Linked DNA regions of Alligator mississippiensis. The protein of the gene in region 1 purifies or fractionates together with the protein of each later gene. This does not show direct contact. Links are inferred from orthologs where the notes say so. Each region holds a gene or a part of one and is shown in the gene's direction. Other genes may lie near its edges.

Region 1 (15,639 bases):
GGCAGCCAACAACTACTGGCCTTCACTGAATTTGATAAATGAGGTTATAAGGTCTATATAAGTTAAAGACTGCCCAGGAGGAGGGGTGGCAGCCATGATGAAGAGACACAGAGTTCATCTCTCTATCTCTCTCCTGAAACACACAGACACACTACAAGCTGCCTGCCTCCAGAGGAAAGATCTATCAGCCTCTGGATGATACTTGTGAATAAGCTACTTGAAATCTAACTAGATATATAGCCTGAAGTAACTCAGATGCGTGATCAAAGGCTACCATGCCACTGTTTGCTCTAAGGGTTATCCTTTGATATTGCTCTACCCTGTACCCTATTCCATACCTACTCCTTGTAATCAATAAAGTTATCCTCTGTATCTAGTGTGAAAAATGTATTAGGAGAGGGTTTAGATTATGCCTTAGGGTCCCCTTGGTCTCGCTGACTAAGGGAGACCACTATTTGTGCTTCAGACTAAAGGAAGCATTCCAAGTTCTTGCAGTGGGTCTAGTACCCTTCAGGTCTATAAGGCCTGTGTACCTCATGAGGCACAGGGCCACTAACACACTGAGACTCGTGAGTGGTGGCAGTGTTACCTCCAGGCTTGCAGGTGTACTCCAGGAAGGGGGTCAGCTGGACATGAGGCGCCCTCAGGGAGGCACTTGGAGCCTTGCAGGTGGTCGGGCACAGTGATGTGGGTGGCTCAGTGCAGAAGCACCCCCTACTGGCCCACCACACACACCTTCCATGCCTTCCTGGGGTGCATGCAGCAGTGGGAGCCAGTCTCCCACCCTATGCCCCCTGGATGAGCCGCTCACAGCTCTGTCCTGTGCTCACCCTGGCTGAGCAGCGCCTGCCCCAGCCCCACTCCCTCCCTCCCCCCACCCCTTCCCCCATATCAGACTTACCAGCCAGATGCTGGTCTACAAGCTGCCGGGCTGTGCTCCTGGCCCCATGCATGCTGTGGCTGTGCGCACACACAGGGCATTTATTCTCCAGATTATTGGCTGCATCAGGCAAAAAAAGCTGATTTCTGATACTTTCAATTTTCCCTATATCGGTGCCGATCTGATATGGGGCCAATGTATTCGTGCACCTCTAATATTTGTACATAGCTCCAGCAGATTGCTGTTTCAAAGATGATAATGATGATGATTAGAGTCCCCTGTGGTTCAGTGGTAGAATCCTGTCTGTTACGCAGGAAACCTGAGTTTGATTTCTGGATACTAATACAATTACAGCCATGGAGTCACCAAATGTCAGGACTCAATCTGGCCTTTGGATTCTGTCTCAGAATGGAAGGTCTGGACAGGCTCCAAACTCCTGTCTTGGCATATGCAATGAAGGTCTGGGTGATCTCTCATGAATACACCATGACCCGGAAGGATCAACAGTTGCCAAACTATGAATATTATTTTTATTGTTATTATAGGTGGAGCTAATCCCTATAAAAAAAATAGCCTGTGATGTCATTAAGGATTGTGTCATATTGCAGATGCATGCACAAGGAGGCCAAACGAAAGGTGTCTACCTTAACTCTGGCCTTTCCTAAATGTGGAGTGCTTGATTTTGTTACCTTAATATTCTTTGTAAGGAATTTCACACATATATATATGGCAGTAACATCCAGAGACACTGGCATCTATGTGTATAATACTGCTTCTCATATGTGCCATGCCATGAGGGAACCATACAACAATTGCTTTGGGGATAAATGTGTCACTTTATTGGCTCGTTAACTTATGATTAACTTAAGGACCATTTGTATCCATGAAACAAGTTACTTTTGTTGCCTTCATGCTCAGCTGCTTCTGCCATCTTCATCCTTCAGAGGGTTCCACCTATACCAGACTATAAATACTCTCCTGGCACAGTTATCCTAGGAAACTTTCTGTAGCATATGCAAGGGCTCACTACATCCACAAAATCTTTAAGGAGGCCTAGCAGTATGCATGTATTACTGGACTGCAAATAAAGGCTTAGCTTGCATAGGGGAATTGACTGAACTAACAAGCGCTTCCATAGCAGCCATAGTAAACATAGTGAGCACCTCTGAGAACACTGCTCTGGCTACAGCTTCCTCTCCCAAGCAGAACTCCCATTCAGACACCCCTGCTCGTTGGTTTGCCTAAGTACAAGCAAGAGAGAAGTCAGATGAGAGAAGGAGGTATTACCCTATATATAAAGGTGATGTACATATGTTCAGAGGTGAGGTCCGAAGGGGAAGGCGGCCTGTTGAAAGCTTCTAGGTAAAGGTCAGAGGGGAGAGCAGCAGAAGGGATGTTATGGTGGAGATCTGCTACAGACCTCCAACCCAAGAGGAGAAGGTAGATGAGGCCTTTTTTAAACAACTGATGGAAGCTTACAAATTGCAAGACTTAGTTATCAGAGGGCTTTAATTATTGGGACATCTGCTGGAAGGTAAACACAGCAGTGCACAAGCAGTCCAGGAAATTCCTGGAGAGTGTTGGGGACTGACTAAACAAGGGGTTTCACCCCTGCTACTGGGGAGAAGACAGGGAACTGGACCACAGGGCTAGGTCCTTTTAAAGCAAGGACTTTTAGAGCCAGGAGTGAAAAGCTGCAGCTGAGGGCAAGCTGCAGACCTGAACCTCCTGAGGGCAGGATGCTATGTGGGCCTGAGCAGACAGGGTCAAGTGACCAGAAAAGGGGGAGGGGCCCAGGGTCATAGAAGTGGATCCCTGGCTGCTGGCAGGGCTGGGAAAGAAAGGGATTGGTTGAGTGATGTGATGAAATGTCCCAGAAGATGGTGAGTTGGGGCCCCAGGGGGTGGCCCTCATGATGTATAGATTGCAGTAATAGTGAGTAGTGTGTTGTTGTTTTTTTTGTTTTGTTCTCTTTTGGGCTTGGTGGGGTGAAGTTTATGTCTGGGGACTTTGTTTGGCAGCCCAGGGGCAGGATGGTTCATAAAAAGGAAGAAATCTCTTTATTACAACTGGTGGAATGGATGTGGTTATAAGGGGTGATATGAAGGCTGCACAGCAGAGAGGCGAAACAAAGGACTCTTCTGTAATTCAACCTCAGTTGGTTGGGAGTGCCTGTTTCAAGATCTGGGACCTTCCAGGGCACCAGCGGCTGAGAGCCGACAGGCCGGTGGAGCTGAGGGCTCTGGGCTCAAGACCCAGCAGGGTCACAAGTAGGACTGTTAGTAAGGACAAGGAGGAACCTTGCAAGCAGCAAGGCAGAGGCCCCTGGAAGGGGCCTGGACACTACTAGTATCAGTGATGTGGATAAAGATGAGCCAGTAATGAATGGCTCTGGATTCCCCCTCCATTTGGGATGAGAGAACCTCCCCAGATTATTCACCAATAAGGTGAAGCAGGCAAGTGAGAGGGAGTGGAGAGTGTGAAGCCAACTGGGGATGGAACCCTGGGTCACATGCCAGTGGTACCCTGTAACAGTGATACCTTTTCGGTTCAGACGGTAGAAAGGCAAATGAAGAGGGAGCTCTTCTTGGCCTATTGCTCACAAACAAGGAGGAAATGGTTGAGAATGCGCAGGTGGGAGGTAAGTTGAGTGCCAGTGACCATGAAATAATAAGAGTTCAAGATGCTAAGTGGAGGGAGAAAGGAGAGCAGCAGAATAAGGGCACTAGATTTCAGAAAAGCGGACTTTAACAACCTCAGGGATCTTGTGGGTCCCTTGGGAGGCAAGTTCGAGGGGAAAAAGGAGTCCAGGAGAGATGACTGTAGTGCAACAGGAGACTAGCCAGGCAGGACAATCCTTTCAAGGAACTGAAACTAAAAAAGGAATGCTATAAAAAGTGGAAACTTGGTCCTGGTACTAGGGGAGAGTATAGGCATATTTCACGGGCATGTAGGAAGAAAATCAGGGAGGTAAAGGCACAACTTGAGACGCAGATGGCAATGGACATAAGGCAATATAATGGGATTCATCAGGTGCATCAAAAATGAGAGGAAGATGAAAGAAACCATAGGTCCGTTATGGAATGTGGAAAACAATCTAGTTACAGATGATGGAGAGAAGGCTGAAGTATTTAATGTCTTTAGCTCAGTTTTTATGAAAAGGGGCAGCTACCATCTGACAAGTGCAATTCCCAGCAGAGATAGGGAAGGAGACAAGCAGTTTAGAGTAATGGCAGAACAGGTTCAGGATTACTTAGAGAAGCTAGCTGCTTTCAAGTTGGCAAGACCTGATGGGATGCACTTGAGGGTACTGAAAGAATTGGCTGAGGTAATTTTAGAGCTACTGGCAATCTTTTTTGACAACTCATGGAAGTCGAGTGAGGTTCCAAATGGTTGGCAAAGGACAAATTTAAAGAAAGGGAAGAAGGAGGATGCAGGGAACTACAGATCAATCAGCCTGACCTCAATACCAGGGAGGATCTTTGGCAGCTCTCTCTCAAAGAAGGCTAACATCAACGAGGAACTCCAGCGTAGGATCTGATGTGACAGCTCTGCCTTCAGAAGACTGGACATGACATCAGGACTCAAACAAAGCTCCTACCATATAAGGTTGTGGCAATCCTAACTCTTCTCTATAGTTGTGAAGTTTGGATGATCTACAGGGACCACCTGAACAGTCTGGAATACCATCACCAGCGCTACCTCTGGAAGATCCTTGGCATAGAGAGGGAGGATCATCACATAAATGCCAGTGTCCTCACTGACACTAGCACCCAGGGCTGGATTAACCCTTTAGTGGGCCCTTGGCAAGCAAACTTGTGGGCCCTGGGCTGGTCAAGACCTCCCTCCCCACCCCAGTGCTGCCACTGCTGCTATTAGGGGACAGTGGTGGCAGCGGCACCAAGGCCAATGGAAGGGAAGGGAAGGGAAGGGAAGGGAAGGGAAGGGAAGGGAAGGGAAGGGAGGTGGATGAAGCCATTCACACCACCACCATGGAGGAAAGGACCTGGGGTCCCCACAGCTCAGGGCCCTAGCCATGTGCCTAGTTTGCCTATGCGTTAATCTGGCCCTGTTAGCACCACCATTAGGGAAGCACTGATTACTCAACATCAACTGCAGTGGATAGGGCACTGTGTGTGCATGCCTGATGTACATTTACCAAAATAACTGCTATACTCCCAACTCGGCTAAGAACGAAGGACACATGGGGGCCAGAGGAAATGCTTCAAGGACACCCTCAAGGTGAGCATTAAGTGTGGCAGACACACCACAAATTGGGGAAAAATTAGCTTGGACAGGGCTACATGGCAATGCCTTGTGAGAGAAGGTACATCTTACTTTGAGGAAAACTGTCTCACCCTGGAGACAGAAAAATGACATAAATGAAAGGAAAGGAAACAAGAACAAGAAATGCTCTGACCCCTTCCTTTAACCACCTGTAGCATTTGACAGAGAGTATGTGGCTCTAGGATGGGCCTTGTTAGTCATAAATGACTCATTTACAACCCTTTAGTTGATCTGTGGGACTGATCAGCCTCAACCATGGGAGTTCACTGACAGCCAGCATGGATTGGGTCTCAAGGAATGCATTGTGAAACACTTAGAGGAGAACAAGGTGATTTCAAACAGACAGCATGGATTCACAAATAGCAAGTCGTGCCTGACCAACCTGATTTCCTTCTATGATAAGGTGACAGGCCCTGTGAATGGGGGAAGAGCAGTGGATATGATATACATTGACACCAGCAAGGCTTTTGACACTGTCCTACAACATTCATATTAACAACCTAAGGAAATACAGACTAGCTGAAGGTATTGTAAAGTAGATTAAAAAAACCTGGTTGAATCATCATACTCAGCGAGTAGTCCTCAATGGCCTGATGTCTAGCTGGGAGGAAGTATCAAGTGGGACTCATCAGAGCTCTGTCTTGGGTCTGGTATTGTTTAACATTTTCATCATAGTTTTGGAAGATAGGATCGAGTGCTTGCTTGTCAAATTTGTGGACGACACCATGTTGGGTGGAATTGAGGATGCTCTGGAAGTTAGGGCTAGGAGATCTAAAATAACCTGGATTGAATCAGGTTGGTCTGGAATCAATCAGATGAGATTCAGCAAGAACAAGTGCAAAGGCCTGCACTTGCGATAGAATACCCACAGGCATAAATACAGACTGAGGAATGAGTAGCTAGGCTGCAGTACTGCAGAGTAGGACTTGGAGGTTATGGTGGGCCATAGGCTGAACACAAGCCAGCAGTGTGCTCTTGTTGGGCAGTGGGGGAGAGGAGCAAACAACATCCTGGATTATATTAACAGGAGTGACTTGCAAATCAAGGGAAGCGATTCTTCTCCTCTATTCAGCACTGGTGAGGCCTCACATGGAGTTTTTTGTCCAGGTTTAGGACCCACGCTTCAAGAAGGATTTGGACCAATTGGAAAGAGTCCAGTGTCCAGAGTGACAAAAATGATCAGGGGCCTGTGATATGAGACCCATGAGGAAAGGCTGAAAACGAGGGTTATTTTAGTTTGGAGAAAAGAAGACCGGTGGGGGGGGCGGATTTGACAACAGTCTTCAAATACCTGCAGGGTGATTATAGAAAGGAAGGAAATAGGCTTTGCCTCTGTGGCTATAGGGGATGTTACCCCTCAAGCTGCAACGGGGAAAATTTAGATTGGAGATTAGGAGGAACTTCCTAACTGAGGGTGGTCGAGGAGCCTAAAGAAGCTGTGGAATCTACATTCTTGGAAGTTTTCAAGAGCAGGTTAGAAAGACACTTGGCTTAATCAGGCAGGCCTTGAGCAGAGGGCTGGACTAGATGACCCTTTCCAGCCATATTTCCTATGATTACAGAACAGCACTAATTATTTTTCAGGGGAAAACTCTTTATTCTAGAATAATGTCCACATAAGAAAATAACTATCTTGATCAATTTTCTCAAGAAGATAAGAAATATTGGCTGATGGGAAGGACTGCAGGCATGCAAGTTTTTGCTAGGAAAAAGTGAGTGGGTCTTCATGTATCCAGTGTGTATGCTTTATATCATGACAAATGAAAGCTAATCTGCAGTATCTTAGTTCTCTTTCATTAGTGAAGTAAGAGACTAAAGTAGAAGGGAAAGGATCAAAAGGGATGAGATGTCTAGTAACAGCTTATTTTAAACGTCAGCATGGTGAAGTGTTAGTAGTCAGGAGCCAGCTTATGACCTGGTTGCCTTTCACAGCTGAAGATTAAAAAGAAAATCCAAGCAGCAAAATCAGTCTAATTGAAAAATATACCTTATAGTTTTGCTTATGAAAAAATAATATTATTTAAATGTGAATTATTGTTGACCAGGACCCTCCCGCACAAGGTGCTGTACATTCCTGGAACAAATGCACATTCCAGGGCACTGATGTAAACCCATGTAACTATATGCACACACACAGATTAATTATACAGCTGCTACTGATTGCCCACATGAATTCACTGTACATACAATAATAACACCTACCTACATATTTGTAACTCGTGACTCAAAACTGTTGACATTCCATGTTATTGTTGACATGGTATCTTAAGGGATAGATTGGGCACCTTTGCTCCATAATATCCTCCGAGCAAGGCATCCCAGGAAAAGGTGCAGCGGCAGAATCAGGGTCTCAATGGATATTCAGGTAATCCTATGTGTCTACGAGAAAATGTTTCTTATTTCTGCTGATACCATGACAAAAGGAAGACTGGCACGGAGGCAGGCAAAAGAACAGCTTCTGCATAACACTTTGTCCAGGTACAGCACAGTGCATCTTGGTACAGGTCCACACTATGAAATCCTACTAGCAAAATAATGGTGGTTAAAAGCATGAACATGACACCCCTAGCCAATGTAAATGTACCAGGAGCCCCTTACCCCCATTATGAGCGTCCTTTTGCTGGTCTATGTCATCTCAGGCAGTGGGTTAACTTAATGAGCAAGACTGTCTGTTGCTGGTATAAGCTGAGAGCCTCTCTCCATTATCGGGCTGCTGCTGCTGCAGCCATAGCTGTGCAGGAGTTGGGAATAGCGGCAGGACCCCCTTGTGGAGATGCAACATATGGCAACAGAGGGGTTTTTTATTAGCCAGATCACACCCTCAAAAGGCAGAAGCTGAGCTAGCAGAAGGCCCCTTCTGTCAGCCTAGCTGTCCCCAGACAAGGGGCCTGCCTACAGTCGTATCAGCGGGGGTGGTTATTTGTTTAACACCTAGTTGACATAGCTTTGCCACCACACTAAACAGACTGAGCTCCAGTCTCCTGGTGAGGGCCTTTACCAGTATAGCTCCACTACTATTGCTGTCATGGCAAAGCATTTGTAATGCAGACTGAACCTGAATTTAATTCAGGCAGAAAAAGGCACAGCTCTGCATCCTACTTTGATCCCATCCAGATGCCTTTAGCATGACCCCTGGATTCCTGAAGGATAACAGCCCTTCTGGACTGTTAAATCTCTCCAAGAGCACCCTGATGCTCCACTGATTTCAACTAAGCAGGGTTGAAGGATGGCTGCACAGCAAAGACACGAGAGGGACAGCAGGAAAACAGTTAATTGTGTAAGTAGCTGCCAGCACGGAAAGGAAAGGAACCTCGTATCCTGCTGTAGGAACATGCTTATTTCTATCCTACCCTGGGCCAGGAGAGCGTGGCACATCTCAGGGACACTTTCGAACAACAGAAGTGTTATCATGTTCCTGACTGCTCTGCCAAATGACCCCTTACAAGGATGAATCCAGATAGTGCAGCTGAGCAGAACTCCTCCCTCTCTTCCCGCCCACTTCCACAGATGATTTCTACCCCTGCTTGAACTAGGCAGGCTTGGCTCTGTAGATAAAAGGAAACAGGAGGGCAAGTCAGTGCAGGAGGAGGAGACTTTCATTCCGTGGAAACAGGCACCGCTCTCACTTGACCACACTACAGACACCTCGGGGCTGAGCAACCCGGAGCGCACCGGCTCCGCTACCTCACTATAACACTACCTGGATGGTAAAGGCAATCAAAGGACAAGAACAGAGCCACAGCTGATCACATCTGGAAGAACCTCTGGCACCCTGAGAAGGTCAGCGCGGCTCTCACGAGCGTCTGCTCCACACGTGGCCCGGCCCGGAGCCGTCCCGGTTGGGGCAGGTCGAGCTAGTGTCACCGGCCTGAAGGGCCGAGCGGGCAGCTCCGCACTGGGGAGCGGGAGCGAGGCCGCGACAGCCGGGCAGCCCCGCCGGGTTCCACGTCGCAGCCCGAGCCGCGGGCGGGGAAGCGGGGGCGACCCCCAGCCCTCCCGGCGCAGCTCCGCGACCAGCCCAGGCTGCTGCCGGCACCGGGCCGTACCAAGGCCGTGGGAGGGAGGGGGGTGAGCATTCCGCGGGCGGCTCCGCTATTGGCTGGAGGGAGCTGCCGCGACTGCGCAGGAGGCGGCAGAACCGGCCCCCCCCCCCGTCCCGGGAGTGGTCTGTGCCGCCGGAAGTGCCGGCCGCGCCGGGCCTGGGAGTCGCCGCCGGGTGCGGGGAGGTGCGTGCGGCGCCGCGTGGGGCGGGCGGGGGAACCGGGTCCGCGTGGGGTGTCTCGCGGGGGCGCCGCGACGCCTGGGCTCGGTGTGGCGGGGCCGGGGTTCAGTTTCCGCCGGGGAGGGGGCCGCCGGCAACCGTCGCGCTCGGCCTCGCCCGCTCCTTTCGGCGAGGAGCAGCGCGGGCCGGGCCGGGCCCAAGCGGCGGCGGCCACTTCCCCGCGCTGCGGCCCCGCGGAGAACCCTGCGCCGGGCCGTCCCGCCGCATTGTCCGACCTGCTCTGAAAAGCTGCCAAGGAAGGGGCTCCCGCGGCGGCCTGCGCTGCTCCGCGCCCAGAAGCTTTTGTGTCTCGTCGTTTCTTGACCAGCCAGGCTGGTCTCTGGTGCCCTTGAGACGGTTTGGCCTCATCCCGCTGGTGGAAAAGGAGAACAACTGATCACCCTTCTCCTTGTAACAGCCTTCGGCACATGGGAAACTCTTATAATCTTCCCAGTCTCCTTTCTAGACTAAACAAACCAAGTCCGTCGGCCTGTTTGTGTAGATCCTGGTTTCTACATCTCTTATAGCTGGAGTGAAACTAAAGAGTAGGAAGGGTTGAACAGCTGGGATAGCTCCTGACAGTGAAGTTGTGACTTTGTGGAATAATTTTGCTGAAGGAACTGGTGAAAACTTCCACTCCTCCAACCTGCTCTAACTTTTGATGTTTAATACCCAACAGTACAGTGCTTTTGTGATTGCAGCATCCAGGTTTAATTGGTAGAGTAGACTTGAATGCTTACACCAAATAACATTTGCCCCAAACCTATTTTCAGTGCACATACCAGGGTGCTTCCTCCCATTCATAAGGAACCTGGTAAACAGGGATCCTGGTTTTCTCTGATTAAAAAAAATATCCAATTTTTGGTTAAAAATAAATAAAAGTAACCCCAAATCCATATTTTTCTTGTGGAAAAATATGGATTTGGGGTTGTTTGTTTTTTTTCTTAACTGAAAATTAGGGTTTTTTTTTTAAATTGTAGAAAATCAGGATCCCTGTTTATTAGGTTTCTTATGCATGGGCGGAAGCACTCTGGTATGTGCACTGAAAATAGGTTTGGGGCAGATATTGTTTGGTGTAGCCATTCTTTAAAAAAAAATATTGGGGTTGAAATTAGGCAGTGGAAAAGCCTTTTAAAGAAATTCAGAGGAACAAATGTAGTGAAGAGGAAGCTCCCATCTAATCCGACTAAAACTGGACGATTGTATCGTGGAAATTCTCCTGCACGTTCAGCTTTGGTTTCTAATCAGTCTTTGTTTGACAGTTGATTTGCAGGTCTAACGCCAGAAGGAACTGAGATTTGGTCAGTTTTGTTACTAAAATGTTTCCCATTTCTGAATGTGAATCTTTACTTTTGTGTGGAGCTTCTAGTTCCTAGGTGCTCTAGATGCACAGGTTTCCCTCGATTTTATGTGGGTTCTTTATATGCAAACTTGCTCTTATGCAATGAGCATATTTAAACCCATAGTTTATTATATGTGAGGTAAATTTGCTCTTACGCAATCAGTAAACATGCGTGCCCCCCCTCCTCCCCCCCGCCCAAGCAGGTAAGTCTGCGGGGGGAGGGGAAAGGGCCGTGTCCCCACTCACCCCAGCCCCGGCTGCAGTGGCCTTGGGAACAGCCAACACCAGCTGCCTGCACCAGGGTACTGCATAGTGCAGGAGCAGAGGTGAGTGGGGACAGGTGGAGCATGGTGCAGCCTAACAGCTAGTGCTGCTGCTCCTGGCTGTTCCTGGGGCCGTTCTGTTCCCTCTGTTTTGCTGTGTTGTGCAGCCCTGGGAGCAGCACCCCTGCCCCTTCCCTAGTCCCAGCCTCCCTCCCTCACCGCCATAGGAACATATTCCTATTTGTTACATTGCAAAGTATGTTTGCTTTATGCGAATTTGATTTATGTGCCGTTCTCTGGGAACGCATGTACAGCATAGATAGAGGGAAACCTGTACTGGAAATTGCTCCATCTGCAGCCATGGCCTGGGGTAAACTGGAGGAGCAGCTTTTACCAGTGCATGTTGATCCTACCCAGTAATTTCTGCTAGGAGCTGGGCTGGGTCTTTACTTAGCACATCCTACAAGTCTCAAGGGAAGAGCACCCCCTACTGATTTGCCAGAACCACCTCCTTCATACCAGTCTGTTACCGCCTCTGAAGCTTACCTGGAAACCTCCTAGGACCACACTTGAAGGGAACAAATCCCATAGCATTTTGTTGGAGGCAGTTTTTTGTTCAGTTCCTACAGGGCTGCCCCAAAGGTCATAGCAAGAATTATAGTTCCCCGGTGGTGCTTACAGTAACTGTTTCATTTTTCCTTCAGTCCCTCAGATGAATATTTGCAAGGCAGGAGTCCTTGAAGGGAAAGCTTAAAAACGGGGAAAGATGGGAAGGAGAAAATGGATACACTCAGAGAACCAGTGCACTGAGAGAGAGTACTTTTGTCTAATCATTCAGCTATAATAATCTTAGACGTAATTTCAAAACAGAATTATGGAGAAGTTTAAAATCATAGGGTATTTTTAAATCCTTTAAGCTCTTCAATTGTACTTAATTGAACTTGGTTTACCAATTAATCTGGGTTACTCTATAGGCAGTATCACGGTGTCCTTGTTTAATCACTTGATCCATTTCTCTTCTATGTGGAAATCTTTGAATGAAAATTTAGCACACAAGAATATTGTGACTGTGAAAATGATCACTGAAATGATCACAGGAACTCAATAGTGTTTGCAAAGCCAGAAACACCTTTTATTTTATTTTTTTTTAAACTTACGGGAGTACAAATGAACAGCGGCCTTCAAACTTCAGACAAACAGAGTAAGCGCATTTGATACAGAAGGCACAGACAGAATAACTAGAATTTTATGAAATAGGACTTTATCTCTTCTGATTGCAGCTGCACATCAAAAGCTATGTATTGCTGTGATCTGGGGAGGGGGTATTAGTTACCTTGCTCAGGTCTTAAGCTGTCCTGTTCTTTCTTTTTCTCATATATTAAAACAATAAATAAACAAACAAAAAAAACCCACACCCCACTGCTATGAGTTATCTGCCTGGGATGAACTTTGTTCTATTTTCTTAACTCAACTCTAGAAAATTCTTACAGGAGTTGCTTTCCCAATAGGATGACTTGATTTGACTAAATGGTTATATTACTCTGCACATGATAATGTAAAAGGTGAATCATGTCCTACAGCCCTGGCAATAGTGTGCTTTTCATCACTGATCAGTAATTAAAGAATGTTTCTGTGTACTAGCTACTATATTACATGCTACTTGAATTGCTTGAAATATCATAATTTGTGGCTGCCTTTTACCAAATTAAACATTATAACATCTGTAACCTGGGTTACAGAACCTGCAAAGATCAAACAGGGAAGTCCCTTGTAGCCCTGGAAGCTGCTTTAAGAATCCTGATGGTCCAAAATGGTATTCATCTGACTCCTAGCTGCATATCATTTTAATATTATTGATTAGTTAGCAGCTCAGGGTGGGGGGTGTCTTTAAATAGAATGTGGAGGTGTTACAAGTAAGACTAAGCTGATTTTTGCATTTCCATGTGATACCTGCCGTCTGAATTTCAAATCACTTTTTTTCAAATAGGTAAGCCTCTACACCTGTTGTGAGTCAAGTAACTGTGGTAGGTCTGCTCTGCCTTCCTCTTGAGTCCTGGAGTATTGCCAAAGCAACTAAGCCCTTTCTGCTCCCTCCCACTTAACACATGCCCATCTGGCAGGTGGGTACCTTAGGTGCAGGATTGTACACCAAGACCCCTTCTTTCTCAAGTGATCTTTCCTAGGAGAGCCTGGGCCCGTACAACCTTCCTCCACCACCTAATTGCAGGGTTTGGGAGCAAGTGTGTGGGGCTTGTTTTCTTGGTGGCAGTCCTGGGCTCAGCAGGATTGCAGTCTAGCCATGGTCTATCATCCCTGTTCTACAGACAGCAGGACTGGAATTGAATGGATGTGATATCAGATTTTCTGCCTTGTTAACTCCCACAACAGGGCCTGATTGTCATCCTTTTGAAAATCTGGTAACATGCTTGACTTGAAAGGAATTGGTAGAGCTGAAAATGAGAACCATGAGTTCTGGCTTCTACTTCTTACCACTGTTAGTAGCCAAACAGTCATTTTTGAACTGCAGCTGGTGAGCTTTACTTCTTTTGGAGCATTACTAGAGCTTATTTTACATCTGTACAGTCACTACAGTATGAGGCTGATAGAGTCCCTGATAGATTGCACAAGACATGATTGTGTAACACCAGAATGATCTATTTGTAACAGCATGATGAAGCAAAAAATATGCAATTCTTGTTAAGACCAAGAGAAAAAGCACCCTTTTTAAATCTATGAAAAGAAAATGAAGAATATACTAGACTTCCACTTTTGTGCTCGTTAAATCCGATATGTCAGTAATGGTGGGGGGGCATCAGTTGTCACCATTTCCCCAGTGGGCTCTCTTTTTAAAGTAAAAATTAACCTCAGGCCTATTATCCTTAAACAGCTGTCATCCTGGATGGGGTGATGATGCACATTTTGAATAGCGTGCCTGTATTTAAAGCATGCCATCAAGAGTCAGAAAATCTGGGTTCCATTTTGGACTCTGCACTGAATCACTGTGTGACATCAGGGAAGTCATAGCCTTTTTTATTTTCTCGTATAGTAACTACTAGGGGTGTACCGATAAAGATTTTCTTGGATGATACTGATAGTGATAGCCAGTGATTAACTGATATTTAGTAAGAGTGCATGGCATTTTAAACTACTGACATAAATGAACTTTTTGTGTATTTGTTTTGTATTTATAACACATGCACATGCACACACCTCCTACCTGCTCAGGCCCTTGATGAGGAAGGTGGTGACTACCTTATTCCCACATAGGTCATCCCCCTTGCCCACAGCTACCCACAGCCCTGCTCCCTGTTCAGCCTGTGCTAGCAGGTGGGATGGACCCTCGTGCAGACAGTGGCACCAGGTGTGTTTGGAGCCCCAGAGAATGGCACTGCCTCCACACCAGCAGGCCCCACATAGCCGAGCTCCCATGGCCGCTGGGGGGGGGGAGCCATTTTTACAAAGACATGGAGTGCCTGGTGGAGTAGAATGTCCCTCTCACGACACCCTACCCTGCCCGCTTGCAGCCCAGCAGCAGCCCCAGCGCTCAGGTCCCTGAGCAGGTGGTGTTGCCATGGCAGTGGCAGCAGCAGGAGGAGAGCCAGTAATGGTGCCTTTGTTGCTAAGTGTGGGGACCTTGTGACCGCTTCCCAGCATCCCCTCTGCCTCCTGCTGCTTGCTGGGACCTGTAGTCTGCCACAGACCTGGACTGGTGGCAGGGTGTGGGGACTGGTCTACAGTCATCAGGATGCTCTGGGCACATGGTCGTAATTACTGGCTAAAATGACCAAAAAAAGCCTATAGCCTATAACTTCTCTTTTTATCAGTGCTGGTGTGATAGCCAACCAATATTTCAGTGCACCCCTAGTAACTGGTATGTAGAGTTAGGGATGCACTGATAAAGGTTTTCTTAGCTGATACCAATAGCCTATTATTAACTAATCATATCAGCTGATGCCAACATAATAACCAATTTACTTTAAATTGCAAGGCATTTTAAAGTACTGACATAAATAAACTTATTTTAGCACACTCCAGCAGCCTTTTGCTTCACATGTATCAGCATCCTGGTACTTAAAAAGGGTGGCAGGGGTGCTTCAACTAAAGTTCATCAAATGACCTTTAGTTCAAGTGCCATCACCACTATTTTTAAGTGCAGGGACACTTTTAAGCAGAGCAGAGCGGGGTGAGGGCAGATGCAGGCTGTCCCTGTGGGCTCGGGTCTCTCCACTCAGCTGCCTTTGCGCTGGGAGCCCTGTGCTGGCCACGCACCCCCTGCCTGCCCAGCAGTGGGGGGCACAGCTCACCACCCTCACTGCTGCTGGGTGGGCAGGGGGCACACAGTTGGTGTAAGACTCCCTAGGGAAAGGAAGTAGAGTGGAGAGCCCCGAGCCCACAGTGAGCAGCCCACATTTGCCTCATGCACAAATCTGGGTGTGCACATGTCCCCCTATGCCTCCCCTGGGGGGGTGCAGTGGGGGGGGCTGCCTGTGGCTCTGTTCTGCTCCCCACCCTGGCCCTGGGTCCAATGCACAACCCTGGCTGGGCAGCGGCCCCAGCCCCGGCTCCACTCCCAGCCTCGCTGTGGGGGCCTCAATCTGCACCCCCT
Region 2 (15,259 bases), on another chromosome or scaffold:
CACCCCTGGTGGCCATCTGCCTCCCCACAGTGGAACCAATGAGAAGACTCAGCAAACAACTATAGCCTAAACTCAAAGATAAAGATCCTTCACTTGTGGCTGTCAAACAGCCCCCTAACCTTGCCCATCTCATCGTTAGAAGCAGATTTACCTCTGCCCAATAGACATCAACTGGGACACAGCCTTTCTTGGCAAGAAATGCTTAACCTGTCAGCACATCTCTACTACCACTACTGTCAACACCTCCATAAAGAAACCATCAGAATCTATGGTTCCTACACATGTCTTCGCCAAAGTTTGATATATCTGATCCAATGTACCAAGTGCTCTTATGGCAACTATGTGGGTGAAACTAAACAGCAACTATACACCAGAACGATAATGATTTTTTGACCACAAAAAAATATAAAGGACGGAGACGTACACATACCACTAGAAGCACATTTCTCACAGAAGAACCATTCCCTCCCACTATTCTCATGCTCACGGTTAATCTACCTAACACCTTTAAAAAGGTGAACTTTGGAACATAAATGGATACATAAATCTTGGACACAAAGAATCAAGGATAAAAATGGATATCAGTTTTAAGGCACACTATATTTTACCCAATTTCTGATTTTTTTTCCAGCACAGGAAAGGCGAGAATGACCCTCCTCTCTTTTAGAGGGCTTGATCTCCCAGGGATCAGCTTATTTTCTTCTGTTAATTGCGTACCTGCTACTCATGGGGATTTCTTTCACCCTCCTTCCTCTACTGTTTTTTCACTTATGCTGTGCCCGCCTCCCTCTGATGAAGAAAAGTTTTGCATTCAAAAGCTGCTTGTCTAACTTTATCCCAACTACATAGTTGGTCCAATAAAAGATCTCACCCAAAGAAATCCTTGCCTCTCATAATTTCTGCACCATCATGGCTACATCATCATTATTACACTACTGACATTCAATATAACATTTTATCTGCTTTATTTGAATTCCAAGTTATTTTCTTTGTTTGACTCCCATCTTTAGATGGCACCCTACTACAAACATTGTCCATATAAAACCTGCACAAGTTCTGTTGGAACTTGGTCCTGCCACATGTTTGAATTAAAGCTGAATAAAAACCAGCTATAGAGTTGTCACATATTTCCAAGCACTAACTTAATAGCTGTAATATGTAGCAGAGGCCTCAGGAAAATCACCTCACTGGTGTCCTTATAACAACAAAGGCTGATTACATTTCCAGGGAAGGAATGTTAATTCAGGTCTTTAACAGAGTTTTTACTCCATGATTGGGTCAAAGGAATAAATGGTAATCACCCCAATCTGTGGTTCTCTCAGCCCCAAGAAGATCAGTGCAGTACATTACCCCATGCAGGATGAATGCCACTGACTGCTCTGATCCAATACCAGCTACAAGAGCAGGCTGCTTGTGGGCTGGGCTCAGCTGGGGATGGCAGCAGCAGTGGTGGCAAACGGGTGGGTTTCTCCCTGTGCCCGGTCCCCCAGGAGCAGGTGCAGGAAGGGGAAATTCCTCCCACACCACCTCCACAGCTGCTATCCCCAGCTGAGCCTGGCCATTGTACAGCCTGGCTGGAGTGGGCAGGAATGGCTCAGGAGCTTTCCCTGCCCCTGGGCAAAGCAGCAGTAGGGTAAGGGGGGAAGGCAGGAGGAATAGAGAGGAGGGATTGTGTATGTCCTGAACCAGACATGACATGTGCCAGTGCGGTGCAGTTCTGGGTTGGAAACTGCATGCTCTAATCCAAAATATCTGAAGGAAGAATAAGGAACTGACTGACATCAGGAACTGCAAATGTGTGGTGGGCACATACTTAAATATCTTTAACTTAATTATCAGTGTGATGGGCTAGCTGGCAGTGATTTAGCCCAGGGGTTTTGAAGGGGCAAAAGATGATTGGAGGACTTGGGATTCCCTTTCCTCACCAATCAGGCCCCAGAGACTCACCCTCTGTGTCCCCTGATTGGCCCCTTGGGTCACCTGGAGGGGGATAAAAGGGGCAGCACAGCTGAGTGAGGGGAGACCAGTGAGGGACCACAAGGAAGGAGTTTCAAAGAGCTGGGCCAGCAGGGTGGGAGCAGTTGCCCCAGGAAGCACCTGAAGGAGTGGGACCTGCAGGCAGCAGTGGGACCCTCAGCAGCGCGGCGTGCGGCCGGCAGGAGAGGCTCCCGCTGGGCTCCAGGATCCCCTACAAGAGGCTGCGGCCAGCAGGAGAGGCTCCCCAGCTCCAGCAAGGATCTGAGCAGCGACCTGAGAGGTTCCCAGCTCTGCTTCCAGCTCCTCTAATAAGAGGCCAGGCAGCTCGTCATGAGGCCGGGGCTCAGCACTTGTGCACCTGCTTTGATCCCTTCAATTGGAGAGGGGGTACCTCTTGGAGTACCACCTGGGTTACATCAATATTTTATGTTAAAACTGTATTTGCACAAAGTAGAAGAAAATCACTCTAAATGGATAGATAAGATTACATATTCATTGCTTAAAGATGTGAGAAGTGCTTGTCCAAAAATCACTCATGCTGGCCAAAATTTCTGTCTGAGAAGACCATTCTGTATTAAATGAGAAAAGCCAATAAGGAAAATGGACCAAGTCGGCACATATTCAACACCATGTACTTAACATGCAGGCACAGGGGGCTGACAGGTGGGAGGATGGCACTTGAAAACCAAGCTCTGGGTTGGGTAGGGCCAGGGGAGTCCCCTGGTGGAGGACGTGTGTGGTTTGGGGTGACCCATTGTGGATTTTGCCCCATAATCCCAGCCTAATCTCAGTCCCTTATTATAATATTTGCTATATTATATTACAGTTTTATTAGTCTAATAAAAATGAGCATAAAAACACATTTTTGATGAAAATCTGACTCTTTAGCAATGAATTAGACATGCTAATTTAGCAGGCTTGTGTTTCAGAGCTTGGGTTGAGGCCCAGGCTTGAGATCCTGCTGTTTTGATTGGTGGAGCCCATCAGGAGGCAGCAAGAGAAATAAAGTTGCACCCCTTTCCTGAGGGGAGGGGGAGAACAGCTCTCCTGGACCTGATTGAAGACTGCAAACTGTCAGGTCTGGACGACCGAGCTGTGCGGGCAGCACGAGGGAGATGCTTCAGGGACAGAGAAGAGTGGGGTTAGAAGAGCTGAGAAGAGCTGCACAGCAGTAGCCCAGGAAGGCTCCCTGAAGACTTCTATCAGTGGGGAGTGATGGATGGCTCCAGCGGTTAGGCTCTTGGTGCACAGCACAGTGCACAGCGTTCAGGCCCTGGGAGCTGCGTTAGGCGGCTCGGGTCTGCAACCTCTGGCATGTGGCCAGAGACATGGAGCACAGGCTGGTGCATGGAGCAGGATCTTTGGAGCCCCTTGAGCAGCTCAGGTCCACAACCCCCAGCACGAGGCTGGGAGCTCAGTGCAGGAGGCGCTGCACAGAGGGTGAGAGACCCTGGGAGCCGCTCGAGGTGGCTTGGGACAGCAGCTCAGGGCAGACGACACTGCCCAGAAGGTCCGGGATCAGACCAAGCCCGGTGCTGCACAAGGCTGTCTGGTCCTCCAACCCCTAGCACAAGGCCAAGTGCCCAGTACACGCAGTGGTGCATGTGGCCCTAAGTCAGGCTGGTGGCAGCAGAGTCAGATGAACAGAGCTTGACCTGGAGAATGGGAGGCAACCCTCTGGGACTGGAGTAGTAAGTTACCCCGGAGAGAGGGTCCCAAGAGGGGAAGGACCCCCCAGGGTTGGGGCCGCTCCTGGGTGATAGTGGGGAGCTTAGGAGTCTTTGGGGTCTTCCTCTCCTTTTTCTTTCCCCCCACCTCCTTTCCTGTAATGGTGCCTTGGGAGTGGGGCCCCTGCCCTGGAGGACACCCAGATAATCTAAGGATTGTTGGTTATATTTGTAGACTGTGCCTTACGGTTTATGTGAATAAGTTGAAGCAATAGCTTGTATATTAATAGTTATAAGGTTGCCTGATCAATATCCTTTGTTCTAGGTTGTTCTATTGTTCATCTGTATTTTTAAATAATAATTGGTTGTGTGTACTTATACATATAAGGTTTATTGTTTTGTAAATGTGTGTGTATATATATATGTAGATATATATATGTGTGTGTGTATATATGTAGATATATATGTGTGTGCATATATGTATATATGTATGCGTATGTGTATATGTGTATATGTGTGTATATATGTATATGTATATATGTGTATATATGTATGCGTGTATGTATATGTGTGCATATACATATATATGTGTGTGTGTATGTATGTTTGTGTGTATAATTTATGTCCTTACCCTTTAATAGTTTTGTTGTAATAATAAATGCATATATAGTTAAGTAATTGATTAACTGGGCCTGACTCTATAGGGAATGGAGGTGGCTGCTGGGCTGTTGTGTCCCTCCGCAGCACACTACCTTGCCAATAATTCCCTCAATTGGAGAGGGGAGTACAAAGCCATGTACACCCGGGCTACACTAATAGCCTCTAATTTTGTAAACAGTAACTTTGAAAAGGAACCAGGAATCAAGAACCCTTCAGCCTCATTCCTTTCTTCCCAGCTTAAGCAGCAAACTTAAAGCCAAACCCAAATGCAATCAAATGCAGCTGTGGTGCCTTTCGCTAAGCTTTCCCTAAGCTTTTGCTCTGCTCTGCTGGCTTCTCCCACCTTGGGTCTTCCTGGGCCTGGTCACAGCTCCCACTCACCTGTGTCCCTTCCTCACTCAGCACAGATGCACATTTCTCACTCTCAGTAACAGAGCAGGGTCCCCTGTTAAGAGCCTGGCTGCCGCTTCTCCCCAAGAGAAGTCTGTTTCAAGGCTTCCCACCCAGTACACACTTTCCAGCCCTCTCCTCTGATCCCTGACCCTCCCACTTAGGGTGGTCATTCATCCGGTTTTATAGAGGACAGTCCAGTTTTCTGGTCTTCTGTTGGACGCCTTTATGTCTTCTGTTTTTCAGTGCTTGGTGGCAAAGCACTCCCCCCCCCTCCCCCCCTCCCGGCCACTGCCTTGGCTGCTTGTGGGAGCTCCCTGCTCTGCCCGCCCTGGCTGCCGACACCACTGCGGCTACCTGTGGGAGCTCCCTACTTGCCGCTGCCATGCCCCTGCCGCCTGCGGGAGCTTGCTGTGCGCCCCCAGCCTTGGGAGGACCTGTCCTCTATTCTTAAGGTACCTTGATGGCCGCTCGACTTCCACTCCTCTCTTGAACACTGGGCTGCCACCATTTCCTTTTCTGGTGCCCCACCCCTGCCCCTTCACCTCCCAGTTCTAGGCACCCCACCCCTCCCAATGGCAGGTTTGAGCCCCCAAGACTGAAAAAAAGCCAGATTTCAGCCCCTCCCCTCCCCACACTGTCAGCCAAACAAGACGGTTTGAGAAAGTCCAACCCCCGCAGGAGACCCCTAGACCTGTGGGGTGGAAGAGAAGATAAGCCAGTTTCAAGCCCCCCCCATGATCAGAAGCAACAGGGTCGGGGGTCCCCAGCTTATTGCACTGAGTGCAGCATGTACGATTACCTGCCCCAGGGACAGGTTTCATGTGTGCAATTGGTGCAGGGAACTCCTGGTGCTGCGAGAATGAATATATCCCCTTGTGGCTAGGCTGGTAGAACCGGAGCCGCTAAGGGAGGCAGCGAGGTTCATAGATGAGGCTTTTAGGGGTGTTGTAGAGCAGTCCCACCTTCATTGTAGCAGCTCCCATGCTGCTGAGGGGACTGAGAGCCATGGGGATGGAGGGCATCAAGCAGGGACGGAGGGAAACTATCCTTTAGATGGGACCCACCTTCCAGCTGATGGTACAGTGTCTTCTGGCACATAGGATACTCCTCCAAGGGAGGGAACCCCACAGGACAGAAGGGGCAGGTGGTGGTAGCGGGAGATTTGATTATCAGGCATATAGATAGCTGGGTTTGTGACATCCGAGAGGACCACATGGTGACTTACCTACCGGGTGCAAAGGTAGTGGACCTCACAGGCTGTGTACATAAGGTGCTAAGGAGGGTTGGGGAGAAGCTGGTGGGTCAAGGTCTATGTGGGTATCAAGGATATGGGTAAGGAGCGCAGCTACATTTATGCTGGAAGCTAAATCTTGCTTGCTAGGTAGAAGGCTTATCCTGGTAACATGTCCTTTTGCTGTTGCACGCAGCGCAGCCAGCCCTTCGTTGCTTCCACAGACATGAGAAAGCCAAGCCTGAGCTTCCCTGAGCACACCCAAGCTTCCAGCTCCCTGTGTACCATTAGATCCGGTGGGTGCTGTCTGTGAGCTGGGGCTGCACCTGCGCAGCTAGCACCCTGCCCGGGTGGCAGCTCATGCTCTGCTGAGAAAAAAAAAAGGAAGTGGCAAGGGGGCTACACGACTCACGGGCAGCTTACCCCCCTGCTGTGGGAGACAAAGGCAGGCTCAGGGAGACAAAAAGGATCAGGCCCCCTGTCACTTTTTTGTTTTTCCCCAGTGGAGCCTGCCCATGTGTGCTGACACCCGGCTGTGCAGCCCCTGAGCTGTGGGGTTCGGGGCTGGTGTTTCTCTTTGTGGTGGTGGTGCCAGGACTGCCTGGGCAGGATGCTAGCAAGCGGTGCCACACAGGGAGTGGTGCTGCCACAGAGGGAAGCACAGGAGTCCCCTGCCGCTCAGGGATTGCTGGCAGCTCACCCCCATGACTGCGGGAGCCGTGGGCAGGCTACAGGAAAAAAAAGGATTGGGCCCCTCACTGTTTTTTTGTTCTTTTTCCTTTGGCAGAGCCTGCCTGCTCCACGGCAGAGGTAGTGGGGGGCGTGAGCTGATGGGGCCAGTACTTCCACCATGATGATGGAGGTCCCTAAATTGAAATGGTGGGTTTTTAATCGGCACAATTAAAAGCCCACTGATTAAAAACCCACTGTTTCAATGTAGGGAGAACTAAACCCCTGGCAGGTGTACATGTGGCCTGGGCGATCAGGGTGGAAAAGCGGTGCTAATGGATGACAGGGCCATTGCTGAGAAACTCAATGAGTTCTTTGCATTTGCCTTCCCTGGGAGGATATTCGGGAGATTCCCTCACCAGATCCACTCCTCTCTAGGGAGTGGAGCTGACCCTAACTGAGGTTTCGATAGATTATGTTGTAGAGGACATTGATAAATGAAACAGTAGCAAATCACCAGCACCTGATGGCATTTACCCCAGGGCCCTAAAAAGGTGAGAGTGGAAATTGCTGAGCTACTAACTAGCATACAACTTATTATTACAAACAGCCTTGGTACCAGAGGACTGGAGGGCCGTCAACGTGATTCCCATATTTAAAAAAGGCTCCACAGGGGATGCAGGAAACTACAGGACAGTCAGCTTAACTTCAGTACTGGGCAAACAGAGAGAAACAATCATCCAAAAAAGAACCATTTGGCTCTGCCCGAGGGAAACCGCACCTCGCCGGCCTATTGGAGTGCTTGGAAGGTGTCATTAAGCAGGGGGATCAGGGTGGTCCGCTTGCCACTGGCTGCCTGGACTTCCACAAAGCCTCTGATAAGGTCCCTGACTTGGGGTTCATCACTGAGCGAGGCAGTCAGGGGAGCACCGGCAATGTCCACTTGCGGTTCAGAAGCTGGCTTCAGGGCCCAAAGCAAAGAAGGAGCAGAAATGGTTCTTTTTCAGGATGGAAAGAAGCGAGCAGCAGGGTCCCCCAGGGGGAGCAGGGCCGTGCTCTTTAGCACAGGCAAAAGTGATCTGGAAAGGGGGCAAGTAGCGAGCTGGTCACACGTGCTGCTGACAGAAAGTTGCGTGCCATGGTCATGACCAAGGCAGACTGGGGGCACTTGGGCAAGCATGAACCAAAAAAAAAGACTGGCCAGGCTGTGCACAACAGCAAAAGCCTACAGCACCCAGTATTCCCGGGCAGTCTCCCATCCAGGTACTAACCGGGCCTGACCTTGTTTACCTTTGGAGATCAGGCATGCTGAGGGTGGTACAGCCATAGGCACCAGCCCTGCCTCGCCCGGCCCTTTTCAGGCCAGTGTACACCCCGCTCCCACCCCGCACGCCTGCTCCCGGCCCGCCCCACCTCCCCGCGCGCGCACACAGCCTGCCCCTCCCCTCACACGTGCGCCCAACACCAACCCGCGTGCACCCATGGCCCACCGCCCCTGCTTGCCCCGGGCGCACGCCGCCCACCCCCGGCCCGCCTCCCCCAACTCCAGCCTGCTGCCGGCCTCCCGCCTCCCTGCTCCAGCACCCCACCCCCGACCCGGGCCCCACCTCTCCCCTCCTGGCCCCGCACACAGCCTGCCCCGCCACCGCACCCAATCCTAAACCGCGACCAGGAAAAGACAATCCCCAGCCACGCTCCACCAACACCCGCACGGAAACGGCGGGCCCAGGCACTGGCTACACGCAAGCTTCCCCCCAACGTCTCGCAGTCCAGCGCAAGCCCAACACCTGCCAGGGACTCACCGGGGCCTTCGCATCCACAGCCCGGCCTGGGGGGCGCTCAAGGAGGCCAGGGCCGCCGCCCAGAGCCTCCAGGCATTCCTTGCGCCCGCCTGCCCCGGGCAAGATCTCAGGGGCGTTCCCTCCCCACGCCCACTCCTCTCCAGGGACAAGGCAGCGGGGCTGACCCCAACCCAGGCCGCAGCACCTCAGGCGGGAGCGGAAACTGACAAACTCCACCGGGGCCGACCACCGGCACCTGCTGGCGTTCGGCCCCGGGCCCTGGAGCAGCTCCAAGCGGAAACGGCCGCGCTCCTAACCGCAGCATGCAAGCCCCCGCCGAAAACCGCCCGGGTCCCCGAGCCCTGGTGGGCTGCCAGCACCCAAGGACAGGCTCCAGAGGGGATGCAGGGCACCACGGGCCAGGCGGCCTATCTTCTGCTCCCGGCAAACCGGGAGAAACAGGCGTCCAATACAGAACCGTAGAATTCATCGGGCGACGCAGGAGCCTGAGCAAGGCGCACCTACGGCCCCACACGGTAAAGGGCAATTGTGATGTGCTTGTGCCTGCACGCTGCCGCCTCGGCACCCCCAGCCCGCCCAGAGCCAGCACCAGGCCCGCCCCCACAGGCTGGGGGCGCAGCACTCCCTCAAGCTCCCCCGCCCGCTCCACTCCACACAGGCCCACGCGCCTCGGGCAAGGGCGCTCCAGGGCTAGGGCAGGGAGCCCAGAGCACACGCGCCTGCCTGCCTGGCAGTGCCCAGCCCAGGAGGCCAGAGGCACCGGGCACCCCGGGCCCCCGGCCAGGGACCAAGAAAGAAGGGCTGGCCAGGCTGTGCGCAACAGCAAAAGTCTACAGCACCCGGTATTCCCAGGCGGTCTCCCAGCCAGGTACTAACCGGGCCCAACCCTGCCTAGCTTCCGAGATCAGACAAAATCGGGCGTGTTCAGGGTGGTATGGCCGTAGGCGCCAGCCCTGCCTCGCCCGGCCCTTTTCAGGCCGAGTACGCCCCGCTCCCACCCCGCACGCCTGCTCCCGGCCCGCCCCACCTCCCCGCGCGCGCCCGCCCAACACCAAGACGCGTGCCAGCCGCTAGGGCGCGGCGCAGGCAGCCCGAGCCTTTCCGCAGCCGGAAGGCGGAAGTAAGGTTCTGGTCCCAGCCGGAAGTGGCGCTGGTCTCTCCAGTGCGGGTCCATTGAGCAGTGAGGCCCCCACTGGCCCTTGAGGGGAGTAGAAGGGGACTGAGCCGCGTCCCGGCTCGGTGCCCGTGGACGCCTGTGTCCCTTGCGGAGCGGCGCTGCCTGGCGCCTTGGGGCCCCCGTTGCCGGGCGGAGCGCGGCCGCGCCCTGCCATTGCCCCCGGCCCTGCAGCGCGATGGCGACGCCCGGGGGGCTGGTGTCCAACCGGGGCCGGCGCTTCAAGTGGGCCATCGAGCTGAGCGGGCCGGGCAGCGGGAGCAGGTGAGGGCCCCCACCCCCCGGGCCGCCCGCCCCGCTCCCTGCGGCGGCTCCGCTCCCTCTGCGGCTCTCGTCCCGCCGCGGGGCTTCCGCTGGGCGTCGGGTGCTGCCCCCGCTCCGGGGCCGGGCCGCTACGTGCGGGGTCACAAGCGGCGGTGGCAGGACTGGGGCCTTGGCGGCCAGGCCGGGGGGAGCTCCAGGAAGCAGCCGCTACTGCTGCCGCCCCCCGGGGAGCTGTAGAGCAGCCCTTCCCCCGAAGTGGCCGGCTGCGCAAGACCAATTGAAAACGATAAGGACCGCCAGCGAATTTCTGTCATAGGAAGTAACTATAATAAATCTGCTGACGCTACCGCTGGTGGTGCGCACACCGCAGGCTGGGAACTGCTGCTGCAGAGCGCGGTGGGGCGCGGGTTGCTGCGTGGTAATACAGCGCAGCCTTTGCTTGCATCCGCTTGGCCAAAGCTTGGGTGAGAGGAGGTGGCACAGGAAGGGATAGGCCAGAGGATGTCCCAAGGCCTGAGCCAATTTAGAAATTTCAAGGAAGATGGAATAGAAAAAAACCCAACAACTTGGTTCAAGGTCTCACTTAAAGCATGTTCAGGAGTTAGAGCTTGTCTAAAATTAGCTTTGTCTATCATATAGAGCAGATAGGAATAGGTGTATGAATATTCATTAGCATAACACCAGTTAGGAACACTTATATGTATAAGATGAAACCAGATTTTGTTCTGTACAGCTTGGCTAAACCATGGAAAAAGCTTCCTAAATAAGGTTGGTTGTTTTTTTTTTTTTTTAATTATTTATATTAATTAAAATTACTGCTGCCCCCCCCCCCCCCCCCCTTTCTCTTATTTAGGAAGCTTTTTCATGGTTTGACTGAGCTGTAGAGTGGAAAATCTGGGTTCATCTCAGAATCTCTGTTCTTGCTTGAACAGCCCATCTGCAGGTGAACTAAGAGAAGATCTCCGTTAGGACTCTAGAGGCGTTTTGAGACTTTAGGACTTAAAGAAATTCATTTTAAAATTCTCTCAAGTGTTAACAAGATAGTTATTTCTTTAGATGAACATGCATTTTATAAAACCTTAATCATTTGTTTAATATGACTTAGTTGTACAGTTTAGTCATTTATGTACTTTCAGTATTTCACCATCACATTCATGATTACAGTTTGTATTTATGTGAGTAAATATTTAGGTTTGAAGATCCAGTCCTGCTAACATTTTTGTTGTGCTCAGAATGTATTTCTTTTGGCTGGTGGAGGTCAACAGATCCCAGATACAAACCACCACCACAGCCAGGATATAGAGTAAGGGCCACCCCTGCCCTTGTACTTTGCAGGGGGGGGGTTGGGCTTCAAAGATTAAGGCAAAGGTAGAGGTAGGTAGGGGTATTTCCCTTCTTACATGGGGGGAAAAGGAGGGTCTTGCTCCACCCACATCTGTATAAGGTGCCACTAATTCAGAAATTATGGAGGGATTTCTTAAGTCTAAAAAAAGGTTGAGAACCACTGTTGTAGGCTTATCTGTTTTCTCTCTCTCTGCTTCCTAGGGGCCGTAGTGACCGGGGCAGCAGCCAAGGTGACTCCCTTTACCCTGTGGGCTACTCAGACAAGCAGGTTCCTGACACCAGTGTCCAGGAGACTGACCGCATCCTGGTGGAGAAGGTACCAAGGGCTCGGGTTGAAGCAAGATCCCATGCTGGCAGATGAGTTTGCAGGCTACCTGGGCTTAAGGTTGAGAGTGAAATCCTGGAGTAGGGGGTGGAAATCTCTGCAAGATGCTGGGGTCCTCTTGGTAGGGGAAAGAGAGGCAAGACTTATATCTTCTCTTTATGTGGAGGGAAGTGTTTGGGATCAAGGGACTTTTGGCGGGGGGCAACTATGGGGAGCATCCCAAGAACAGCTGGGTTCTTTTTGCAGGTGTTAGGAGGGCATCAGGCCCCGGAGAGCTAGGCTCTGAGCATGGCATCACAAAGAACTTCCCCAGGATGCCTGGGGTCAGGATCACAACTCCTGGCTTCTCTTGTGGGTCAGAGATCTCAAGGTGGGAAACTGCTTACAGAATCTGGGCTGCATTGGTAGAAGTGATTATTCCCTTCTCTTCAGCACTGGTGAGGCCACATCTGGAGTACTGTGTTCAGTTTTGGTCCCCCCACTACAGAGAGGATGTGGACAAACTGGAGAGAGTCCAGCAGAGGGCAACAAAATGGCTTTGGGAGCTGGGGGACATGACTTATGAGGAGAGACTGAGGGAACTGGGCTCATTCAGTCTGGAAAAGAGAAGATTGAGAGGATTTAATAGCAGCCTTCAAGTACCTGAAGGGGGTTTCCAAATAGGATGGGGCTGTTCTCAGTGGTGGCAGATGACAGAACAAGGAGCAATGGTCTCAAATTGCAGCAAGGGACGTTTAGCTTAGATATTAGGAAGAATGTTCTCACTAGGAGGATAGTAAAACCACTGGAACAGGTTACCCAGCGAGGTGGTGGAAGCTCCATCCTTGGAGGTTTTTAAAATCTGGCTAGACAAAGCTTTGGCTGGGATGATCTAGCTGGGGATGGTCCTGCTTTGAGCAGGGGGTTGGACCAGACGTGACCTCCTGAGGTCCCTTCCAACTCTCACTTTCTGATTCTATCCATGTTCTCTCCTCAGCGCTGCTGGGATATTGCCCTGGGGCCACTGAAGCAGATCCCCATGAACTTATTCATCATGTACATGGCTGGGAATACTATTTCCATCTTCCCCACCATGATGGTGTGTATGATGGCCTGGCGCCCTCTTCAGGCCCTCATGGCTATATCTGCCAGTAAGTATCTCCAGTAATGCCAACTCTCATGAAATTATTGCGAGTTGCGATTTCTAAGTAAAATTAAGTCTGACTCATGATCTTGTGCGAGAACTCTCAAATCTTAGGAGTTTTTTTTCTTCTGGCCTCAAGCAGGCTGGAACCGGCCACATGGTCTCTGGAAGCCTGGGTGGGGCCCAGCTGTGTAAGGGTGCAGGGAGTCCTGCCAGGGGAGCAGGACTGAGCTCAAGGCCATAATGGGCAGGGGAACTGCTCAGGGTGCATGTGCAAGGGAGGATTAGAAAGAAGCATCTCATAATTTACATACCAAATCTCTTAAGAGTTTGTCTTTTGATTTTTTTGATACAGTGGGGTTGGCAACACTGTATCTCCCACAGTCTTGTTAATATTTAGTCTTCTACAGCCTCCCCCACTCCATCCACAAACCACGACCATTTCTGCTGCTAAGTAACAACCAGCCCTGTCCCCTGCCTAGTCCCCTCCTCTCCCACCCTCCTCCAGTTCCAGGACCAACCTCATCTCCTGCAGCCTTAGCACCTTTCCATATTTGAGGTTGTAGTGTGGGAAGGACACCCAATATCTGGAGGTCTCCACGTCTGATCATCTTTTTCTCCTTCCCTCAGCTTTCAAGCTGCTGGAAAGCTCCAGCCAGAAGTTCCTACAGGGGCTGGTTTATCTGATTGGCAACCTATTAGGACTGGCACTGGCTGTCTACAAGTGCCAGTCAATGGGGCTGCTGCCTACCCATGCCTCTGACTGGTTGGCTTTCATTGAACCTCCTGAGGTGAGTCGGTATAGACTGGCATTAGAGGAAAGAGAGGGGGAGGGTTTGGCTCTGGGAAGTCAGAGGACAAAGGTTGGGGGGATGATAGAGTTGTGCTAGTTTGATCTTTTCTCTCATTGCAGCGAATGGAGTACACAGGTGGTGGGCTACTTTTGTGACTACTCTTCCCAGGGATACCAGGGCTTGGGCCCCCATCAACTCCAAGCTGGATGTTGTACTGCTAAAGTATGCTGTGGGGGAAGCAAGACAAGCCCTGGTATCTTCCTTTCTCTGCTGTGTAGGGACTAATAAAGCTGCTGTGTATATGAGGCAAAGTCCAGTGTCTGCTGTCTGAGAAGGAAGAGGGTATGGTACACCACAGCTCAGCCTCTCCAGCAGGGAGACAGGCACTGTACTGTCAGCAACAGTGTCTTTCCTGTACTGCTAGATCTCATGTTAGCCAGGCCCTGTGCAGTTCTATGTTAAAGTGCTGTCAGCATGAGGAAGTAGTAGGAGAAGCACTACTCCCTGGAGTGGTAGGGAGGGGATATCATTGTTAAACACACAACTTCATCCCCAGACACTGCAAATCATGTACAAAATTTTTTTATTTTTTACAGTTCTGTTACAGAGCAAAAAAATGCACATAAAGAGTGACATGTAAACAGGGGCCTCTTGTCCCCTAATAAATTAAAAATCCCACCCTCACTAAAAAAAAAAATCCCTTCAAAATAAGTAAGCAAGGAAGAAGGGGTTTTTTTTTTGTTTGTTTTTTAAATTATTATTGGTTTTGAGGCTCCTGGGTGATTTAAGGTCCTAGTAACCATTTTAGCCAGCCATGATTAGGAATACAGTAAGCATCTCCTTGTGCTCACTAACACAAAGGGAACTTGCTCTCCCTTTAGGATTGCACTTGCTCTTGGCCAGGCATCCCCCAGTGCATTTGCTGGGGGGGGGGTTTAAACAGTTTTTAAGATAAACAGATTATGGGGGAAACAGGGAAAGAAGACTTCTAAGAATCCCCCCACCCCACCAGTGAACTAGGGTACCATGGACTGATAATGCTCCCTTTCCTCATTTATCTTGGGTCTATCACTGTGAGGTTAGAACAAGTAATTGGTGAGCTTGAGCCATTGGTGGATCGTTAAAATAGTAACACCAAAAACAACTCTGAGTGGTCAGCCAGACCTTTCACTACAGCCACCAGAGAATTACAGCCAGTGATAGGATAAAGCTGGTGCTCACTCCTAGGCAGCCCCTCCTGGGAAGGAAGGGGCCCAAAGGAGTCCCTGATTATTAGGACAGGGAGGCAGAAAGGGAATTTTGTGCCAGTGCCTGTCGGTGCTCTGCTCTGGCAAACCAATGGAACAGTCACCAAAGCCCCAGTTCCTGAAACACCAGATTCCTTTGAAGCCAGTCTAAGTGAGAAGAAAGGTTATGGGGGCCTGGGTCAGACTAGACAAAAAGGGGGGGGGGATAGTCCAGAAGAGCCTGAAAAGTCCCCTACTTCTCTTCCATACATGCACTCACTCTTTTTCTCTACTTAAATAATACGAAAAGCAAAGCAGCTTTGGCACTGCATGGAAAGTGGAATTGGAGAATACCTGCTCCACATGACTCCTGGGGAGGGGGAATTCCCCCACTGCAACCTATCCATTTTAGATCTGTCCTCTACTTCATTCTGTACCATACTACCCCTCCCTGCCCTGCTGTGTAACAATCTCTACCTCCATCCCACCCCCTTCAGGTTACGTCCCTTCACTTCCTCCCCCTTCTTACCACAGATTAGATGCTCAGGTAATGGCTCAGTGTGGGGTGTGCCCCCACCACATCTACTATCCCACTCCATTTATCTGTCCA

What was found.
Region 2: the proteins of NADPH--cytochrome P450 reductase (region 1) and EMC4 purify together in Homo sapiens (affinity purification with mass spectrometry; 3 studies listed by BioGRID and IntAct, with this or other methods). This does not show direct contact. The link is inferred for Alligator mississippiensis from reciprocal best matches to the Homo sapiens genes POR and EMC4.

What each region holds. Positions count from the first base shown.
Region 1 is NC_081837.1:17,422,533-17,438,171, reverse strand, and holds the start of NADPH--cytochrome P450 reductase, read left to right. Parts: upstream 1-8,710; 5' UTR 8,711-8,947; intron 8,948-9,304; exon of another isoform or gene 9,305-9,393; intron 9,394-15,639. UniProt on the Homo sapiens protein: This enzyme is required for electron transfer from NADP to cytochrome P450 in microsomes. It can also provide electron transfer to heme oxygenase and cytochrome B5.
Region 2 is NC_081830.1:36,416,579-36,431,837, reverse strand, and holds EMC4 (ER membrane protein complex subunit 4), read left to right. Parts: upstream 1-9,536; 5' UTR 9,537-9,751; coding exon 9,752-9,837; intron 9,838-11,382; coding exon 11,383-11,497; intron 11,498-12,482; coding exon 12,483-12,636; intron 12,637-13,259; coding exon 13,260-13,420; intron 13,421-13,542; coding exon 13,543-13,578; 3' UTR 13,579-13,728; downstream 13,729-15,259. UniProt on the Homo sapiens protein: Part of the endoplasmic reticulum membrane protein complex (EMC) that enables the energy-independent insertion into endoplasmic reticulum membranes of newly synthesized membrane proteins.